3 linked regions of the Styela clava genome follow. The protein of the gene in region 2 purifies or fractionates together with the protein of the main gene of each other region. This does not show direct contact. Links are inferred from orthologs where the notes say so. Each region holds a gene or a part of one and is shown on either strand. Other genes may lie near its edges. The genes, in order: mitofusin-2-like, E3 ubiquitin-protein ligase MARCHF5-like and dynamin-1-like protein.

The links.
Region 1: the proteins of E3 ubiquitin-protein ligase MARCHF5-like (region 2) and mitofusin-2-like purify together in Homo sapiens (affinity purification with mass spectrometry; 5 studies listed by BioGRID and IntAct, counting the BioPlex papers as one, with this or other methods). This does not show direct contact. The link is inferred for Styela clava from reciprocal best matches to the Homo sapiens genes MARCHF5 and MFN2.
Region 3: the proteins of E3 ubiquitin-protein ligase MARCHF5-like (region 2) and dynamin-1-like protein purify together in Homo sapiens (affinity purification with western blotting, with the first as the bait; 3 studies listed by BioGRID). This does not show direct contact. The link is inferred for Styela clava from reciprocal best matches to the Homo sapiens genes MARCHF5 and DNM1L.

Annotation. Positions count from the first base shown.
Region 1 is NC_135255.1:2,491,097-2,498,621, reverse strand, and holds the start of mitofusin-2-like, read left to right. Parts: upstream 1-4,443; 5' UTR 4,444-4,615; coding exon 4,616-4,789; intron 4,790-5,016; coding exon 5,017-5,094; intron 5,095-5,317; coding exon 5,318-5,563; intron 5,564-5,664; coding exon 5,665-5,768; intron 5,769-6,010; coding exon 6,011-6,182; intron 6,183-7,168; coding exon 7,169-7,307; intron 7,308-7,525. UniProt on the Homo sapiens protein: Mitochondrial outer membrane GTPase that mediates mitochondrial clustering and fusion. Mitochondria are highly dynamic organelles, and their morphology is determined by the equilibrium between mitochondrial fusion and fission events.
Region 2 is NC_135256.1:15,199,906-15,207,319, reverse strand, and holds the start of E3 ubiquitin-protein ligase MARCHF5-like, read left to right. Parts: upstream 1-4,345; 5' UTR 4,346-4,386; coding exon 4,387-4,474; intron 4,475-4,532; exon of another isoform or gene 4,533-4,582; intron 4,583-6,621; coding exon 6,622-7,414. Other genes in the region: uncharacterized protein LOC120328307, read left to right, coding at 1,219-1,764; dynein light chain Tctex-type protein 2B-like, read right to left, coding at 2,551-2,598, 2,801-2,934, 3,655-3,788, 3,868-3,950. UniProt on the Homo sapiens protein: Mitochondrial E3 ubiquitin-protein ligase that plays a crucial role in the control of mitochondrial morphology by acting as a positive regulator of mitochondrial fission and as an important regulator of immune response.
Region 3 is NC_135258.1:11,927,158-11,934,742, reverse strand, and holds the start of dynamin-1-like protein, read left to right. Parts: upstream 1-4,574; 5' UTR 4,575-4,746; coding exon 4,747-4,848; intron 4,849-5,892; coding exon 5,893-6,049; intron 6,050-6,122; coding exon 6,123-6,394; intron 6,395-7,020; coding exon 7,021-7,158; intron 7,159-7,436; coding exon 7,437-7,569; intron 7,570-7,585. UniProt on the Homo sapiens protein: Functions in mitochondrial and peroxisomal division.

The sequences.
Region 1 (7,525 bases), on a different chromosome or scaffold from region 2:
CGACACTCCTCTTCTTTTTGATCACGTGCCATCGAACGTCGATGGTTCGTAACGAAGTCCTTACGGTACTTTGCTACGATTTTTTCCTTACGCTGTCTTACTACGTTACCAGTACTGTACCGTACAGTATTGCAATAATGTTGGTTTTCTTTTCTGCAGGGACGTTACCGTACCGCCTTAGCGAAAGTTGGAAGTCTTACTGTACTGCTTCGCTTGGTGTGAATATATTTTTAGACTTTATCTGACGGTACGGTAAACCGTACTGTACTGCGAACAGACGTGTTCATATATTTGGGTGTAGTTCTCTTGTTGTTATTATTTTCATTATTTGTCTCCATCATTTTTAAAAAAATCGCTTTTCTCTTCGAATACTGGACCAATGGCTTTGAAATTTGCAGTGGTTGAAGATAAAATTTTTCCCCAGAAGGCTATTACTTTTATTCATTTTAAATACTTCTGTTAGCTCTGTGAGCTTTGTTTTTGTTTGCTATGACGTCATTAAACGTTCTGCAGACATCGGACGCCATTTTGTGTCCTACTGTACTGCTTCGCTTGGTGTGAATATATTTTAGACTGTGATCTGACGGTACGGTAAGCCGTACTGTACTGCGAACAGACGTGTCCATATATTTGGGCGTAGCTCTCTTGTAATTTAATTTCAATAATAAAAAATTTGTGTAAAAATAGCTGTGATAGGCTAGGCTAAAATTCTTTGTAGTGATATTGCATATTTTATGTTGATTTGATTCAGTGCCTGAGTTCATGACCTTTCATGTAGTTTTTTTTTTATCTTTCTTTGGCCTACCCCTAGTGTATACAATGTATTTTGTTTTTTTGGTTCATGAAGGATACGATAGGATTTACATATTTATCCCGGGGGAGAGGAAAGCCGATAAGACGGCTTATCCATATGGCGAACCACGGCCTCTCGTCCGGTTACCATTCCAAGTCGGGTATGGGATTAGTTATAAGTAAACACAGTACTCTGAAATATCGAGTTTATTCTGGATAATATTCTACACTCCGGTATAGAAATCAAGGGTAGAAAAATTATTACATTCTTTACCGGTACTTTTAAAAAACATGTTGTTGTATGCGATGATTCATATTGATGGTTTGAAGCACACACCGGTACTTCATTTTACATGCGCCAACTCGCAAAAGCACTCTTAAAATAGTCCCGAAAATTTTACAATAGTAAAGCAATGACATTAAACAACATGATAGGCAACTCTGACGTCACTCCATAAGACTACAGGCGAAAGATTGTATTTCATGATACGCTCCAATGCACATATTTCTCGTCGACTTTCGCGTCCGTTTTCCGCTCGCTTTTGCTACTCGGCGTCTTTTTTACGTGTAGTACCTGTCTTTTTGCGTCTGTAACGAAACAAAATAATCTCTATATCTAAGAAGTTTTGCTCACTTGGAAAGCTGGAATGGCAGGCAAGCTGTAAAGAGCAATTCTGGACATCATAGACGTTTTTTTTTATCAGAGAAGATTACAAACGCGATAGCGGAAAGATTTGTGTGGAACATTTTGCAGATAATGACACAAAGTTCAAAGTTAGTAATTTTAATGTTTGCGCTTAATCATTGAAGTTTCATTTAAAGAGGGTGTCATACAAAACTGTGCTGTGATACAATTCCATAACACAAAGTTTGCACCTATCGAACTTGCTTTTGTAGGTGAATTTATTAGACATATTACATATTCAGTTAATCGTAGGTAACATTGCTGGTACATAATGCATCGTAGATAGGTTTGTTTAAATTTAGGAATTTAGCTCATAGCCCACTAATTAATATTATTTTCTATGCGGTAGGTTGCAGGGCTGAATTCAACTTGCAGCCTTACCGACCACCTGACGATGCTCATTTAGTTTGGCTCGAGCAAGTCTTCTTGAAATGCTTGTGTGGATGGAAACTACCTATATTATTTGCCTTCCTCCGATTTTAGACAAATTTATTATGAGTGATTTTGCATATAATTCTCATTGATGGTTGGCTGTTTATAATTCCTATTGATTGTGAATTCTGATTATACCAAAGAGTTAAAAATTTTTTTATCTAATTTACTGGTACCTTTTCTTGTCAATACTCCAAGTTGAGGTAATAAACAAGACAATACATTTATGTCATCTGGAAGCAAAATATGCACACTAATTAATAGTTTGGCACATTGAGATAATACATCATGACAGAAAATACAAGTTAAAGATAGGTATGACCATCACATGGTAATTAAAATTAAAAAAAATTAATAGGGGCTGTGGAGTATGAAAAGTTCAAGACAAAGAAAAGAACAAATGTTCATAGCTCATGAACTCTCAATTTTGCCTCCATTGCTTTGTGAAGGCCAATATATTTCGAGTGGCTGAATTGGTTTGCTAGCAACGATTTTGTATTTAATATAGCGAGATGATTTTATAGTACCAACTCTAACTAACGAGGCCACATGATCATGGGTTAATCTGGATCTTTGCGAATGTTTAATTAATTCCAGTAATGCAAAAAAGTTACTTTTATCATTTCATGTATAGATCAGTAAAAAAACAAATGACAGATTTTTTCGACAAGACATTTCGCACCACATTGCGTGGCATAGGATTGCTTGAATTATTATTGATATTGATTTTTAGTAACTAAGTCGTTGTATAAATATATTAATATACAAACACATGGAAATTTTCTGTTCGAAGTTGGTCTTCGAATTTGTCATATTGACTGCTGAGCTTATTGTGTTTTTTCATTTTATTGATGGAAATATGACAAATTAAACAATGTGCTTCAGAATTTTGCGAAAAGCAGAAAAGTTACAACTCCCATTTTCTTCGAAAATGCCACCTTCTTCATGTACTTTGCGTTTAATTTGATCACTCAAGTGTTTATTCAAGTATTCTTTTGCAAGCTTGATGTGTATTCTTAATTGGGTCAAAATGTGGACAAAAAAAAATCATATTCCAAAACTACTTTCAGTAAATTGTTTTCTGTGTGAATAATCAATTTCACTTTAAAAGGTTTGAAAAATCTATTACATTTAGATAAAAAAAAAAATACTATTACAATTATTGTTAAGCGTTCGAGGGCCGCACTCGAAGTTCTCTGGGGCCGCGAGTTTGAGATCTCTGGTCTAGATTGAAGTTGTCCAAAAATATATATGATAGTATTTTATCATGAATGATGATTATACCCCTTCCGGAATTTCTTCTATCGTACTACCAAAAGTTGATGAACCAAATATAACACAGGTGCAGTGAGTTACCCGTAATCCTCATTTTCCAAAGCTGTTTTAAGTGTCTGGCGTGTTTTGTGCCTTTTTACAAATAAGACCGAGTATGTAATTTTACGCTTTGCAATTTTTAGTTATTTTCCTCAAGCCCTGCAGGATGTAGGGGTCATACACAACTTTACCGGAGGGTCAAGTGTCTTTGCATGTCACTGATATGTCGCCAGACTTCTGATATCTCCCCTTCTGCTATAGTTGTCCTGTGAATAAATAATAGGAAATTGTGATTAGACGAATAGTTGAAAGTTTTGCTTTATGTCGGCTTAATTTCTTGATTGATATACTTACTATTTCTGCTATTGCCTCTTGTGCTGCAGGAGTCTCACAATGCTTAGACAGGTTTGTCCACAACTTTCACATCTGAAGAAAGAGAGGAGATTTATTAATTTTCGTTAAGAATAAATAAAGCAGTCTATATGATTTAGAATGGAAAAGCTAATGAATCCAATATCTCATGTTTTATGTAAAAAATATTTTACTGAATTTGGTCAATAAAACAAACTAATAAAAGGGTTTAGTCAGAAAATTACAAGCATTCGTGGCTCCAAATATTTGAGAGATCAGACTATACAATATAGACCGGTATGAGTGAAATGTTAGGTGGACTTGTTAACACTTTGATTCAATACGCAAATAAAAGTGAATGCGCAATAGTATGTTACAATGAGCAGCAATCAACAATGAGTATATATCCTCACTGATTAAAAAAATCAAACTGGAGGTGCATGAACTATTTGAAACCATAAGGGGTAAGTAAATATGTAATTTCGGCAAATGGGCAACCACGTACCGTACTGAATTAATAACTTCGTAGTATTTGACAAAGGCTGACTTTCCCACATGTACTTAACAGTGCGATGCCCGGGTGTGATATACAACAATAGTATTTACCTTACCTTTTTCCGATTTCTTTTTACCTTAACTTTCCAAAATATCATTAAAATCGACAACAACTGTCAAAGCAGGCACGAACACCATTCGTGCTACGCCTTGAAAGCAGCACACATCCGCTCGTTTTCGTCTCGTCAAGTATGTGCATTGGAGCGTGCTATCGAATACGATCTTCGGACAAAAATGCCGGAGTTGCGCATCATGTTGTTTAATGTCATTGAGTAAAGTATAGGAAGATTTTTTCGGGGTCAAAGGTCGGGGAATAGGACTCTTGAAATACTCAGATTAACCAAAACAGCATTAGCATGCTTCAGCTTTCATGGATTTCATAGCCGCTTGTGTTTTGTGACTGTTTTAGCCTATATATCTGTATATAGGCCATTGTTGTAGCATTTAAATTTGAAATCACCAAAATCAGTTGCTTATTGAGGCATTATGTTGAAGTCTGGGTTTGGCGGCGGAGGTGATGCGTCTTCACCATTAAAATTATTCACTAATGCCAAGAAGAAAATAAATGGGATTTATCGAGACATAGGAAATTATGTCAGTGAATTCCATACTTTTGTAGAAGAAATTAAGGATGTTGAAGAGAATGAACTTGTGCATCAGGTAAGTTTTCCAACTGGTTCTTATATTGAGTACATACCGGTACAGACATAGGTTTAGTTAACTCAGTTTACGATCATCTCAGTCCTTTGAAATATCCCCACCAAGAGCATAGAGACGAACACTGAACATGGTTTGAAGTATATTACCCTGACTGCATTCCTAGATGCATCTCATTAGCCCTCTTACAATCTTATTGCTTTTAATTTAGTTTTTGCGATTTTTCACAGGAATTGGTAGATCATATTCAAACATGCGCTCAAAAAGTAAATGGAATAAAAGAGATGTTACTCCGAGATCATATGAAGGTATTTATTCAAGGATAAATTATGTGATTTGTCTAACATTATCTATTCTCATGAAGCTGTGAAATGAAACAACAAGATATTATACATATTCATACTCTTGTATGTCATATCATAACTTCAATTATAAGTCAATTACTGTTCTCATTCCAAGCATGGTTGCTAATTTTTGTGTAAAAGGTAAAAGCCTGACTTTTTTGTATATTTTATTTAAATATAATTATAGGTGGTTTTCTTCGGAAGAACTAGCAATGGAAAAAGCACTGTAATAAATGCTATGCTGTGGGATAAAATATTGCCGAGTGGACTTGGTCATACGACCAATTGCTTCTTATCAATAGAAGGATGTGATGACAAAGATGGACCATATTTACTTTGTGATGGATCAGAGGAGAAGCGTAATGTTAAAAGCGTATCACAATTAGGACATGCACTCAGTCAGGAAAGCATGTCTAATGACAGTTTGATTAAGGTTTGTTTATGATTTATGAAATTAAATATTTCTGTTTTTATCAAACGTCCTTCTAATGTTATACTTCCTACTATATCGCTGTTATTTATTTCATATTCCAGGTATGCTGGCCCAAAAATAAATGTTCGTTATTGAAAAATGAAGTTGTTTTGGTTGACAGTCCTGGTATTGACGTAACTGAAGATATGGATAGTTGGATCGATGCGTAAGCAATTTTTCCATTGTATTGTGTACTAAACATTAATTAATTAAACACAATCTGTAAACTTGTGAATTAGTTATTATCCAAAGACACAGTATCTTTACTCATCTTTTCTATTTTTTTCCTGATGACTCTTCTACAACAAATGCAATGCAATTCATTTTACAGTTGTAAATGTTATGTAGTCAGTGATATTGATACTTTTTTTAATGTCTGAAATGTCCTACTTAACATTTTTCTTATAGTTACTGCCTTGATGCAGATGTTTTCATTCTTGTTGCAAATGCTGAATCAACTTTGATGTTGGCTGAGAAAAAATTCTTTCATAAAGTAAACGAACGTCTATCGAAGCCTAATATATTTATACTCAACAATAGATGGGATGCATCAGCTGCTGAACCTGACCTTATGGAACAGGTAGGACTTGATCGAAGTTATATTAGTTTTCCATCTTGTTTACGGTTCAGGTAACATTTGATATGTTCAAAATTATCTATAATTTGAGCTTCTATTTTGAGCTGAGCAATTCGGAATGTCTGTAAATATGTCAAACACCTAATTCATCAGAGTAAATGTAGTATTCACTATTTCATTCATAACCTCATATTTGTGATCTAGTGATTTGTGTAGTTGCAAAAGGTTAAAAATCTCAGATTCAACCTCCATCACTGATACCTCACCAAGGATTTATTAAATTAGGTAGGCAAGACCAACTGAAAAGATTCTAGCCCCAAAAGTAGTAGCTACTTATTTTTTATCATCTAATTCTTTCTAAAGCCTTTTTTGAGGTGAAGGTGTGAAAACAGCAAAATAGTTAGTAGCCTATATTTGTAAGTGTGTACATAATTATCATGTGTAACAAGCTTTCTGCTCTATGGGTGACAAAATGCTAATTTAACACTTTTTTCCACGGCCATAGGGATTCAAAAACCCAGGAGTGATATGAATTGTTTTGAAAAGCATAGATTTTAAATAAATTCTGTCTATGATTTATTCCATCTTATGAATGCTTGGAAAACTGATTTGAAAAAGATTCTCCACCTTGCCCTACCTGACCAGAAATGATATGTTGAATATTTATTAAAAACATGATGACAACTATTCTGTTTATATAAGTCATATTTTACCTCACTTCTGAACAATTCTCTGTACTAGCAGTCACTTATGCAAAAGTATATTGCTTTTTGAAAGGACAGGGGTCTTTCTTGTTTGTCTTTGCCTACACCCAATTTGAAGCAGTGCATAACCTGTAATGACAATATTGTTTAATCTGATGCTCTAACCATGGGCAATTACACTTCCCTAATATGGACAAAAAATGTCATAGGAATTGATAGGCGTAAAATTTGAAATCAGCAATTTAGAAAGATGTTAATTCTGAAGTTTGTATGCAATTTATATAGGTGAGACAACAACATCTGGAACGTGGAATATCATTTTTGGCAAAAGAACTAGGTGTTGTTACCCCACAGCAAGCTAAAGATAGAGTTTTCTTTATTTCTGCAAAAGAAGCCCTTAATGCTAGATTGCAACGCTTACAAGGTTTTTAATTTTTTCTATGTAATATAGGATGATGTTTAAATGAATCATACATGATATGTCAGAATTGAGCATAATTTCATTTAATAAAGCATAGCTATGTATGTCTGATGATTCTGTTAAAATTTGATGCTGTAATTTTATTAGACCCACTATAATGAGATTTTCATTGCAGGGTCCCATCGAAATCATTAAAATGTTTCAAGTAAATTTGCCAATAA
Region 2 (7,414 bases):
GCTGATTAATTCCGCTGGTCTAATATTGCAAAAATATAATCAACCAAATCAGTTATGTGGATATTCTATATAATGTTGTAATATTCGATTACATATATATAATCCTCTTTTCGTGTATGACCCAACTTTGAACTTGCATACTCCGAAATAGTTTTTTCAGAAAGTGGCTGTGATTAGCATTATATTGAATCCTATCCATTTTTTTTTTTATTAAGTAAAGCGCAATTCTTTGTAACCTTCGAATTAATAGATAATTTTGAAACTCAAATTAGTATTCTATTCACAATATAGTAAGTGAAGTTTGAGTTCAAATATTCATCCCTCTACATCCCTGATTGTAAAATTTTTACTATATTTTGGCTAATTACCACAAATACATTAGGTCCACTTCCTATCAATAGCACTGCTATAGGTATTGGAACTATTCAAAAATTCAATATTGCTCGAAGTTGTTATTATATTTGATATATTCAATTACCTTTTGAGATTTTTGTTGTTTGATGAAAATGTTTTAAATGGGTACAACCGTTCCTCAGTACACCCCCTGTAGACACTAGAACTTAGATCTCTACAGACCCCGATTTGGTTTCAGAGTTCTATTTTTCATCCTTTGTTAATTAATGATATTAGTTATTTAGATATTTGATTACAAACCCCCTTCTTGTACTTTGAAAAATCCCTTTCAGTAGTCATTGAAATTGATCTTCATATTTACATTGTGTTTCAATTGTTTCTCATAAACCAAAGTTAATCCTATCTTCGTAAATCCAATATTTTAATTTTTTTCACTTATATTCCTTTTCATTTACCATAATAATTATCCAAATACGCTCATTGGGTATAACTACCACAATTTGTTCACCATATTAGTAATTCTCCAGACCCCTAGTAATTAATATGCATGGATCAATGATCATATGAGCGTGATAACTAACTTAAATCATTAGCCCCTTGTAATTGTGCTTTTTACAATTATTTAAGTGTATATTACTCTATAATTAGCTGTTACACACATAGTCATCCATTACCTGGGGGGAGCTGACTTGGATGACCGTATGGTCGTATCGCTCCCTCCAGTCTCTACCATAAACAGTGTTTATTTATTTGTATTTATGCTTTCATATTTATATTTGTTTTGGTCGACGAATCAATAAATCTCTCTCTCTCATGCAAACTTGTTTGCTCGGTGAATTTATTAATCGTTTTTTTTTCATCCAGATGCAAAACAAATTATTCAAAAAGATGGTAAAACCAAGTTTATCAAGTGAAGTTGTTGAACTCATCGCATTAGACTCTGAGGTGAGCAAATCGACTGGTGCTGAACTTGTTCGAGTGGATATCTTCAAAGATATTTCTCCTATTGATAAACAAGAATCAAATGGAAGTTTAGAGCTAAAAACTGTGGATGAAAGTACTGAAGTTTCACCAGAAGAAGTGAATGTGGTTTTACCGATATCTGAAAAAGCACAAATTGAAAGACTGCACACAATAGAACCACGAAATTATGAGAATTCCGCTGAAGTCGCAAGCGTTGATGTCAACGAAAAGACCAAAGATTCTTGTGAAGTCAGCACCCATGAATCTTGTGATGCTGGTATGTGTGATAGTAACAATTCAGAAGCTGAAAGCGAATCCCATTCAAATTGTACAAAAAGTTTCGAAGACAAAACCAAGACAAGTACAGATGTGGTAAAGACAAATGATTGCGGCTCTTCAAATCATCCAACAACAGCAGAAAATTCTACACCTGATCAAGGTAGTTAAAAATGTAACAGAATGTATCCAACTTTTTGGTGAGATTTTGTGAGGAGGTGGTCCATGTTGTCGGAGATTTAGCCTTTGTGAATGAATGTTCTGACTAACCTCTGTCATGTTCCTGCACATTTCTGTATATGATTTTGTGGTAATAATGGTGTCTTCTTTGTTCAAACCACTTTTCTTTATCATTGACAAACTGGATTCAATCCAGAGGCAATTCACAGAAAAGGGCCAATTTGTTTTTATTTTTCACTTCCTTTCAATTCAAATCATGTACTTTTCTTTCTATATGTTGCAATTGCTTCCTTTGCGTCTCTATTTCATACAACACACCCTTAATTTCTCTACATTAATATCTCTCGTTTTCTGATTTTTATAAAGTTTCAAATAAAACAAATGCTTTCAAAAGCCTCGTTTTTTATTTAGAAAATATATATTTATATAGACAGGAATCGATACACAAAGGGGGTTCTCTGTCATGACCAGGGGTCCTTGATTAACTGGATTTCTGTTTACTACACTTTTGAAGACAGTTTTTCATGGTGGAAACATATAAAGTGGACCTACCCACTTGGGTCTAAATACGCTCTTCAAAATATAGGCTGTAGGTCTGCGCTGTGAGCATAATTTTGGTGAACAAAGTGTTTGGATCTATATACGCATCATAACTTTCCTGCTTTGTATTTTCATCCTATTTAGCCAAAAGGTAAATAATCCCCAGGACTAGTCATGACAGAAAAGTGCACATAAAGGTAACTACGATGGGTCATAATATTGAATGAAAATTGTGTTTCAGTAGAAGAATATCCCGAATGCTGCGACGACACAAAACATGGATTTCTGGAAAACAACATGATTGTTTTAAAAATTGTAATACTTTTAAATAAATTTATTCTAATTGTCGTAACCAAAAAATTTGGACGTTTACTATGTGTGGTTCATATATTATTGAAACTGCACAATTTGAGTAAAAATGGTCACTCGTGCAAAACAACTAGTCTCACCAAAGACTAAACCAAAGATAATCAATTTCAGTACTTACATTCATAAATATATCTTGTGCGTAATTGTCTGTATCTGAATCCCAAAAACATCTGCATCCCATTTTAACTCCTTCACCTCGCTGTTCGCCAATAACAACTTGCACCACAAATTTGTATCTGTCATACCCCATTGCTGAATGGAAATATAAAGTGTTGAAAACTAAAAATTCTGCGACCATTCCATGAGATAGCAAGATTAATTGGTACGTCAACTATTAGAGATTTTCTTGCTATGGGATTAGAATATTTCAGAAAAACTTTGATATACTGGTTTGTTCGGACTTGTCACTTGTAGACACAGGTTCAAACCCCACTCATGTGTCAGATGGAAATGATAATAAATAAAAAGAAATAACATAAAATAAATCAAATTTTCTACTAAGCAAGGAAATAGGAATATAGCCATTCTATAGTTTAGTCATAACTGTACTTGTACGAAGCATCATCATTGGCCACAGCATCTCTGATTACCCTGTGAAGGTTATTTATGTGTGAGAGGATTGCTGTACTACTTGTCACTGTAGGGTGGTTCATGTACCACTTGTCAGTTACGACTTCCCCCACCATCAAGTCCATTCATCTGAAAAAAAATACCTGGATAACTAATCCCACTCTCGACATGGATTGGCAATCGGATGAGAAGCCGTGGTTTGCTATATGATTAAGCCATCTTATTGTCTTCCCTCTCCCCTGGGATAATTATGTAAATTCCATCCTATACCATAGTAATTTTATATAATGTTGAACGGTTCCTTCAGACAGTCAGAAAAAGGATGGGATAGGATTTAGTTACATACCGGTATTTATTCTGGGGAGAGGAAATCATTATCAAATATCCATATTATAGCATTACCTTTTAACTTGGCTTTTGTATTATTACCAATATTTTGTACCCATTCCGCTACTTGTTCTCCATCATAATCTTTACCATCAAGTTCTTCTTTAACAACTTCATGAATAATTTCTTTCACTTCAGCTGGTTTAAATCTTTGTAGCAAAAAGTAAAATAAATCAATCTCTCTTTACAAGAATTTAATGAGCTGCAAAGCCTTACTTCAATACTTACTTGTGTTGGAAATTCGGCCTGATTAGATACGTATTTTCATGTTGTTGCTGCTGGGGAGCCGTTTCTTCAACTTCAGCTGACATTGCGCAGTTGTTTGAGTTGCGGTACCAGACTATCGAAATTGTTCACCATCAATTAAACTAATTGTAGAATTTAATCAAATCTACTAAAAAACATTCAAATTTGTCAAATCTGATGAATCCAAAGGCCAAACACGACCGAAACCGAAGGACGCTTTGACACCCGTTTAAGCTATAGGCTAGCTGTATAAGGCCAATGACTGTCATTGATAAGGCCAACGTTTATTGTTGCTATCCAAAGCAAGCTTGCCTTGGCAATAAATCGTTTACTATTTTTAACTTATGTATGCTATACACGAAAACAAATTCTGGGTAATTTTATATTTATTTGAATAATTTTTAATTATTTTTAAATAAGACTATAACTTATTTTATACCTCATTTTGAGTTACTGTTAAATAATAAGTGATTTATCATTAACGAAAGACATACATATAAAATGCAGAGAGAGAGAAAGAATTATTATTTTGTCTTATCAGGAAACGAACATTGCAACGATGGAAAAATATACAAAATACGCCAAGTCTGTAAGTAGTGAGGGTTGGAAATCTAACGACTTTAATCTGTTACCGGTACCGGTACCGGTAATGGGGCAGATTTTTGTCCGAACATCTCAGTACTGTATACCTATCCAGGTAGCCTATCTATTCGCAAACTCTGAAACTGGCCTTAGCCCAGTAGCCCAGTGCAGTAGTCTACGGTTCTGCTTTTTCCTATCACAGTTTACCGGTACCCGTACCGTACTGGTTTGTGGTACCGGTGAACGTTGGAGTAAATTTTGGCTGGCTATGGTCAGATTGTAGCTGCAGTACGGTATACTGGTAGAATGGACTGACTGATATTATCTGATACTTCAGCATTTGAACTGATATTTAATATTTTGAAACCACTCATACCGGTATCTGCTTATGGCAGTATGGCTATGGGGTGGTGCAAAAAAAATATTTTGAAAGCAGCTGGAAGTTTGGACCAGTCTGCCAGTAGGTTACAAGCCTACAACTGCTGAACTGTCTGACTGTAAAAAGGCATGAATTAGGTGGTTCAGAAAAATGTTGGTGCTGCACTTTCGGCGCAAATTCATCAAACGCAGTGCCTTATTAAAATAATATGGCGAGTACCGGTACGGTACCTACAGTACCACTGTACCAGGTTATCGAACGAAATGTGCGATTATGCAAAGGACCAGTGCCAAGGGATCTGAATTAGAATTGGGAAACACTACCAAAATTCTGCGATTTATCTTACCTTTTAATAATTAATGAATCAACGATGATTGACGCAGAATGCAGCAGCTGGTTGTGAACATAGCTTGCAATTTTTGTAGAAGGCTACAATTGTGGTGTACGGATTTGCCAGGCATGGTAGCCTAGGGGCCTCGACATCCAATTTTGAACTGTTATTCATTTTAAGTCGTTTTTAAATTTTAAGGCTTTTACTGATTCAAAAATTTTTTTAAATTGACATTCATTGAATTTTTTATTTGGCTTAATGCTTGTCGCAAATATATTCTGTTTACAAAATTAACAATTAAATACGATCGAATGAATGGATTGTTCCAAATTTCCAACTTCACCCCTTCAACTAAACAAATATACTACTTCGAAATAAATGAACAGTTTTTTACCATAATAATTCCCTCTATTTATTGAAAAAGATGATACAAATCGATATATAGCTATACTCATTCATCTAAGCAATATTTAATCTAAGAATTATTTAATTATTTTATGATTTTCGGATAGTTTTTTAACAAAGACCCGTTTATTACGAATAACTTTTTTATTAGTAATATTTTATTTATAAGTAGGCCTACCTGGGGCCATGGCCCCTCCCTCACTTTTCCGCGACCGTAAATGGTTGTTATGAACCCTATCCAATGCCATGATTTTATTACAGCCTTGGGTTTTTGAAGAAGTTCTTAAATTTAACTTACTATCCAATCTATTCGGGTTATTAGCGAATGTATATTGCCTGTAAATAAAATTTCGTATAATTGATTCTGTGAAACGTTGTGACGTCATTGTTGAAGGGACATTACAAATGAAATAGGCCTAGCTTAGTGGCCTCTTGCTGTCTAAATACAGCCCTGCCTGTACCCCATAGTTCATAACATTTATTGAATAATCATAATATAGTGAATGCCATAACTACTTGAATAATGGCAAACAAAAATGTGATATGAAAATAGAGCCCATAGTTTTATTTTTTTTAAGTAACAGTCTGTCTTGTGGGTAGTATACTGGTATAGCAGGATGAATGCCTTAACTGCTTAAACGAGAATATCGGTCAGAGACCGAAGACTTATCGATTGAAGGTTAGGGGATGCCCCAAAACAGCGCTCTTACTCCATAGTGACACCATGTGTCCCATCACTAATTAATTAATAACTAGCTAATTATACGACATAATTCATCGAAAATCAATAGGCTTCTGATCCGAGCTATGATGATACACACGCAAAATTTGGAGCTGATTCAACCTCGCTTTTGTGAGATATCGCGGGCATCTAACAGAGAGACAGACAAACAAACAGACAAATACCTATCAACATACTTACCGATCTTAAGATCGGTAAGTAATAACGCTATTAGCCTTGAAAATTTGATTCTAATTCCCTAGCTTAGGGATCACCTATCTATTCATAGTCTAATGACCATATCTGCATAATTATCAGGTACATATATGATGGAGGAAGCTAATGATTCCTCAACTTCTGTTGGGACTGGCACAAGTGAGGATCCTCAAAGCTCAACATATAGAAGTTGTTGGGTATGTTTTGGAACAGATGACGATGAACATATGAAATGGGTGAAGCCTTGTCGTTGCAAAGGTACGACAATGTGGGTCCATCATGCTTGTTTGATGAGATGGATAGATGAAAAGCAGAAAGGCCATTCTTTTACTAAAGTAAAATGTCCACAATGCAACACTGAATATGTTGTTGTTTTTCCACCTTTTGGAAAATTGACGAGTTTTATTCAAACGATTGATCACATTGTGTTTAAAGCTTCACCCATTGCGGCAACCGGAGTTCTTCTTGGATCAATATATTGGAGTGCGGTCACTTATGGAGCAATCACAGTAATGCAAGTTTTGGGCCACAAAGAAGGGTTAGATATGATGGAGCGAGCAGATCCTTTATTTTTACTTGTCGGCCTTCCTATGATACCAGTCGGTCTTGTCCTTGGAAAAATGATACAATGGGACGATTATCTTTTGAGGTTATGGAAGAAACACTCTAGCAAGTTGGTTTACTTGAAAAAGCTGATTTTTGGGACACGCCCTTCACAAGAAGGAACTTCAACCATACTTCCTCCATCTCCAGTAGAAATGCGACAGACAAGAGAAATCAAGTTTACGAGAGTTCTTTGTGGAGCTTTGATCTTTCCAACCGTTGCAACTATTTTCGGAAAGCTTTTGTTTCACAGCGTTGAGTCGAATTTTCAAAGGAGTGCATTGGGTGGCGC
Region 3 (7,585 bases), on a different chromosome or scaffold from region 2:
TTTTTTTTTATCTAAATGTAATAGATTTTTCAAACCTTCTAAAGTGAAATTGATTATTCACACAGAAAACAATTTACTGAAAGTAGTTTAGGAATATTAATTTTATTGTCCACATTTTGACCCAATTAAGAATACACATCAAGCTAGCAAAAGAATACTTGAATAAAACACTTGAGTAATTAAATTAAACGCAAAGTACATGAAGAAGGTGGCATTTTCGAAGAAAATGGGAGTTGTAACATTTCCGCTCTTCACAAAATTCTGAAGCACATTGTTTAATTTGTCATATTTCCGTCAATACAATCAAAAAACACAATAAGCTCAGCAGTCAATATGACAAATTCGAAGACCAACTTCGAACAGAAAATTTCCATGTGTTTGTATATTAATATAATTATACAACGACTTAGTTACTAAAAATCAATATCAATAATAATTCAAGCAATCCTATGCCACGCAATGTAGTGCGAAATGTCTTGTCGAAAAAATCTGTCATTTGTTTTTTTACTGATCTATACATGAAATGATAAAAGTAACTTTTCTGCATTACTGGAATTAATTGAACATTCGTAAAGATCCAGATAAAGCCATGATCATGTGGCCTCGTTAGTTAGAGTTGGTACTATAAAATCATTTCAGACTGGCCTTAGTATGCTGGTGACACAAAAAAGATGCCAAACGCCAGGACAAATGTAATTATTAAAACATTGAGTTTATACTGTAGTATTTTTGTTAATTTTAGGTTCATATATTTAAATTAAGTTATTTTTAGTGTATGTATTATTCTTTCCCTATTCAAAGCTTGTTCAAAAATGATTTTGATGGTTGTACATAGAATTTTACGATTTTTTATAATAAATACTGTAACTTGCAAATGTTGCAATAATAGTGGAATGCAAAGATTAATATGTAATTGCATTTGAAATTGAAGAAAATAATAAAACTTAATATAACTGTTTAGTTGCATCACAATATATGTCACAAACTAAAACTATCTTAAAAATATCTTTTAAGTATACATTATCAAAAACTGTTTGCGGCTCTTTTTACAATTTTCAAAATGCAATGCGGCTCTCGAAAACCCATGAGTTTGACACCACTGATCTATTCTAGACGATTCAAGCATTGCTTTGGGAAATTATATCACTTCAATTAAATTGAAATAATCTCGCTATATAAAATACAAAATCGTTGCTATCGTAAAGGTAAACCAATTCAGCCACTCGAAATATATTGGCCTTCACAAAGCAATGGAGGCAAAATTGAGAGTTCATGAGCTATGAACATTTGTTCTTTTCTTCGTCTTGAACTTTCCATACTCCGCAGCCCCTATTAATTTTTTTTTAATTTTAATTACCATGTGATGGTCATACATATCTTTAACTTGTATTTTCTGTCATGATGTATTATCTCAATGTGCCAAACTATTAATTAGTGTGCATATTTTGCTTCCAGATGACATAAATGTATTGTCATGTTTATTACCTCAGCTTGGAGTATTGACAAGAAAAAGGTGCCAGTAAATTAGGTAAAAAAATTTTCAACTCATTGTTATAATCAGAATTCACAATCAATAGAAATTATAAACAGCCAACAATCAGTGAGAATTATATGCGAAATCCCTCAGAGTAAATTTGTCTAAAATCGGAGGAAGGCAAAAAATATAGGTAGTTTCCATCCACACAAGCATTTCAAGAAGACTTGCTCGAGCCAAACTAAATGAGCATCGTCAGGTGATCGGTAAGGCTGCAAGTTGAATTCAGCCCTGCAACCTCCTGCATAGAAGATAATATTAATTAGTGGGCTATGAGCTAAATTCCTAAATTTAAACAAACCTATCTACGATGCATTATGTACCAGCAATGTTACCTACGATTAACTGAATATGTAATATGTCTAATAAATTCACCTACAAAAGCAAGTTCGATAGGTGCAAACTTTGTGTTATGGAATTGTATCGCAGCACAGTTTTGTATGACACCCTCTTTAAATGAAATTTCAATGATTAAGCGCAAACATTAAAATTACCAACTTTGAACTTTGTCATTATCTGCAAAATGTTCCACACAAATCTTTCCGCTATCGCGTTTGTAATCTTCTCTGATAAAAAAACGTCTATGATGTCCAGAATTGCTCTTTACAGCTTGCCTGTTACTCCAGCTTTCCAAGTAAGCAAAACTTCTTAGATATAGAGATTATTTTGTTTCGTTACAGGCGCAAAAAGGCAGGTACTACACGTAAAAACGACGCCGAGTAGCAAAAGCGAGCGAGAAAACGGACGCGAAAGGCGACGAGAAATATGTGCATTGGAGCGTATCATGAAATACAATGTTTTGCCTGTAGTCTTATGGAGTGACGTCAGAGTTGCCTATCATGTTGTTTAATGTCATTGAGTGGACTTATGACTCGTTGCGCTAAATTCTTCATATTGATGTTGTAGTGAAAAAAAATCGTTTTCTATGCAAATAATATTCTGATAAATTTCGGAACTTCAGTAGGCTACCAAATCAGGTATTTCGCCCAAAATTTTGCTATTTCCATCCACATGGAAAGACTTTGTTATAAAATGTTGTTTCCTTTCTTGTGCCACACTTGCCCGTCGATATTTTCTGAGGAACCATGACCACCATCTTTGAAAAAAAAAATTTTCAATTTTTTTTAATACAATTTTGCGGAATTTGCAGCTATTTGCGATTGTTCGCAGGCGGAAATTAATGCGGCCCACACGCTACCGCAAATGTGTATATTTGCCCCGCAGGTACATAATGTTTGCCGACCACTGCTCTATGCCAATCATGCGCCATCCCATCTTAACGTCAGACAGCTTTTCAAAAAACAGAAAGTGAGGAAAATTATCTGAACAAACTGAATTTTGCCAAGCTGCCCAACGAACAAGACGTAGTCTGACCAAAATTACAGAAATGTATTCTGAATGTTAACTGCTTTTGTATGTTTATTCGGTGTCCAGCTTTATTACCCTCGCGAAATTTTATAAAGATGTGGTAATTGTACTTTTTGCATACTTGAAAAAGATTGAAAAGGTACCGATTCACTTACCTTGGCTTTACCTTACCTTTTTATTTAAATGTGGTATGTTTTATTACCTCAAGTCCAGTTTTTGTTAGCGTAATCATTACGTCATTGTTGTGTAATTACACACTGAAATATTGAACAGTTAGTTCATCGTCATCGAAATGTTTTAAACCTGCGACTGATCTTGATAAAACACCTAACTTCTAGAACGATATTTATGTAGCTAAGATTTTGAGCCTAAAAAATCAGACCATTCCAGCATTTTGACTGTTGGAATTTATATGGACAGACAATAGTTATCTAAAAACGAATCTAGAGTTAAAACTTAGTCGTGTTTTGAAAGTCCGAGTGCTTCGCCGTTCCCCCCGATAAACATAAAAGCTAATTCAACGTTCGGGAGAGCACAGTTTTTCTCTGCTCCGAATTTTTGACAACCCCATAAACTAATATATACTAATTGCTGAGTAACACAATAAATGTATACACAAAAATGGAATTGGTCCGAACACAAATGCTGCAGAAAACTACGGTTGACCGTGTTTTTATAGCGTCTTTCAGAGTGGGGGCAGGATCAGTCGATAAATTTAAACGAGAGTCTAAAGTAAAAAGAGAAGATATACAGTTCATAAAATATCGAAATCGTAAAACTGCAAATTAAAACACAAAAAATGGCCAACGATTTTCCTGCTACCAAAAAATTTGGTTTGGTTAATTTTTCTCAGCGTAGCGTAGTCAAAATGACTTCCACGCTAAAAATTCTTTCTCCGATAAAATGCATAACGGCAAGTAAATGCAAAGTTATTTTGATGTAAAAGATAGATTTTCTATATTCTTGCATTTTAATATATATGGGAATTCAAAGTTTCCAAATAGATTTAAAGAAATGGGTAAACGAAAGTGTCATTGTACAACTCATATGCATTTTCTAAATATTTTGACTTGAGAAAATACCAAGAGTGCAAAAACATGATCTATATTAACATTTGTTTACATTTTATTGCGCCTCTTAATCATAATTGAAGTTTTAAATTGAGCCATGAAACAAGTTTGACAATCCCATCAATATACAAACCGGTCATGTTATAAAGTATTGCAGATTGAACAACATACATGTGATCATTTAGAATTAGTCCTTTCTGGGCAGAAGTTTCACTAGTGCAACATCCGGTAAATCACCCCAGGAAATCGGAGTGTCGAAAATTTTTAATAATTCATCATATATGACCTAAAAGTATTGCTTTCACCAAATATCAGATTTTTCCCACTGCCAAAAGATAAAGGGGCCCGGAGAGGGTTAAACACGAAGTATTCTCCATTTTTACTATGTTTGTGAATTTTTCTTTTTTCATTGCCAATATTATTTCATTCTCTTTTATAACTGACGAAGAATATAAAAAATACTATTTGAATTTTGGCCTTCTTTTACCAATTTAACATTTTCTTGTATAAAATCGGCCAGCAAGCAAAACTCCGACAAGTGCTGAAATCTCGCCCGTATGCTAAAGAACTACTAGCGCCACCACACGTCAGAAAAGCACAATAGTTTTTAAACCTGTAACCACAGAAGGTCCTCTTTGTTGGAATTTATAGATTTGGCTATGCAGTGCTGATACACGTAATAGTGTAATACTGTTATAGCTGTACATATAGTGTGCGTCTAAGAGCTTGTCTCTAGCAGTTTGAGAAATTTGACGGGAAGTAAAGCACTGAAGAATGGAAGCGTTAATTCCAGTTATCAACAAACTTCAAGATATTTTTAACACCATTGGCTCAGATTCAATACAATTGCCTCAAATAGTTGTGGTTGGATCCCAGGTAACTTGAATGATTTTTTATGAACGAGTCGGAATTGCACTTCATTCAGTCATTAGATAACCGGACCAAAAAATAGCATTTCACATGTTTACCGGTCATAGCCTACCTCCCAGGTCAGGCTTGGGCAAGTTCTGAAGTTGCTGCCCAAGTGATTTAGTAACGATGTACCTGTGTACCAGCTGCTTTCTGCAGTCAACTTTGTGAAAATGGTCAGCTCTTTTTCCAGATGATCACTGATCAATAGAGTTTTTGAAGCATGAATTTTTCTTGTATAATCTTGATAAGTTGCTCTTTGAATCTGTGAGTCGTGTGCTAACACAGCGGGATATCGTTAAACTAGTCAGCTCTTTGCTTTCCAGTATTTTGAATATAGTGAAAACGTTTGCCATTGAACCTCATATTGAAAAACTTGTAAAAACGCAGCAAAGAATACACTCATTTCATTAAAAGTAACATTTGTAATATGTCTTGTTTTATTTGAATGTGTAATAAAATACATTGAAGCGTGCAATGTAGGTTGGCTTCACTTAGTCTGGCACATTACCACATTTTGAATTTGCAATGTGACCCCATGGCAAAAATAATTGCCCATCGTTACCCCAAATGCATGCCAAACGTTAGCAGGTAAGTGATTCATATGCGAACTAAAATAATGCATATGGTTCGAAAGTCCTCTTGAATCTCTGAGTACTTTGTTGGGAAGCCCAAGTAATTGACTCGACCTGAGTCACTCTTTATCAAAGCCTCAAAGTGACTCAAGTCATCAAAATTAAATATCTCATACTCAACCAACTGTCACTGAGACTCGATACAGTGATTGAATAGACGAATAGACTTGGTACTCGGGTGACTCAAGACTCAAGTTGAGGGTCTTTTACCCAGCATTTGTTTACCCACCATTTTTAATAATGCAAAATTGGCATCGCACTTGTAAGCTTACCATTTGAACAGAATGTCATCTATGATTGTTTTGAAAGTGTCATATATCTTAGTGCCCAAAATGGATTAAATTATTCATCATCAATATTGTGTAACACATTTCAGAGTAGTGGAAAGAGTTCAGTTCTTGAGAATCTGGTTGGTCGAGATTTTTTACCAAGAGGAACTGGTATAGTTACAAGAAGACCTCTCGTGTTACAACTCGTGCACTTAGATAATGGAAAAAATAAAACGGAAGAAAATGATGACAATTCAGAAGAAGGTAAATAAAACAGTAAATCAGGTTCTGGTTTTCTACCAATCCTTCCTCCAAATGAGCCATATTTTAATTTTAGATTCTGATAAAGAAAATGAAAAACCAGGTTTGGAAAACCATGTAAATGGCTCATCTTCAAAGTTCAACCATGGCCATGAAGAGTGGGGAAAATTTTTGCATACAAAAGACAAAATGTATACAGACTTTGATGAAATTCGAACGGAAATCGAAAACGAAACTGAACGGATGGGTGGAACAAATAAAGCTATTTGCAGTGATCCAATTAATTTGAAAATTTTCAGTCCTCGTGTTCTGAATTTAACTCTGGTCGATCTCCCGGGAATCACGAAGGTTTTTTTTTTATTTTCTGTTAAAGATACATAAAAAACTCTAAAACATTGTTTTTTTGCTGAAAGATTCTGTATTTTTAGATGTTAAATACAAATATCAAGTAACAAGGAAAATTTAATTATGTATCAAATTTGTTGTTCAAGTAATACTAGTAGTTTAGTAGTTTCTAGTTTCATTAATCGAATGCAAATGTTTCAAAAATTGGTATCCAATACAAATGAAAAAATATGATAAATTCTTAATTTTAGGAGCAGCTTATACTATTTAGAAATTGTATTTTGAAAATTTTCTCTCAATGCTTTTGACACTGAAATCAGACAGAAAATTGAATTTTAAAATCATAATTTGTTCCCACAAAAGTTGATATTTTTTGAAAACTATAGGAGACAGGGTTCATTTATGGGCCAAGCTAGAAAAAATTGGATTGTAAAAGAAATAGCTCCATTATGCAAATCCCATTCGATCATTAAACATTGTATCAACGTAACCAATCATTGTAAACCTAATAAGTAACATTTATTGGTAATTTTGTATTTCATTAATCAATTTTGGTTTGGTAGTAATATACCGTAAGTTAATTTTGATACACATATTCAATGCATAATCATCTCTACTTCCTGTATCAGATTCCAGTTGGTGACCAACCTGAAGACATTGAAGCACAAGTGAGAGAATTGATATTACAATACATTTCAAATCCAAATTCAATAATTCTTGCTGTTTCTCCAGCAAACACGGATATAGCAACTTCAGAAGCCATAAAGGTATGTTTCAACAAATTTACCAGCAGTGATGTGAAATATGGGAAAATTTACACCCGAATCCATCTTTATCCTATATGAAGAAACGACTTCAGCTCCAGATTAAAGGAAATTTTTACTCGGACTCTTCAATTTCGGTCATACAGTAGCTACGGTACTCACATATCAGGATCTGCTGGCACAGAGCCATGTTTAGAGTGAAAAAACCTTGTATAGAAATAAGAAACTTCTACCTAGTTTGCCATGTATACTCATTACAATTTTGATATTATCGAATCTAGATGGCTCTTGAAGTTGATCCAGCAGGAAGAAGAACTCTTGCAGTTGTCACAAAACTAGATATAATGGATGCTGGTACTGATGCTATTGATGTTCTATGTGGAAGGGTCATCCCTGTCAAATTAGGAATTATAGGCAAGTGCAAAGCATG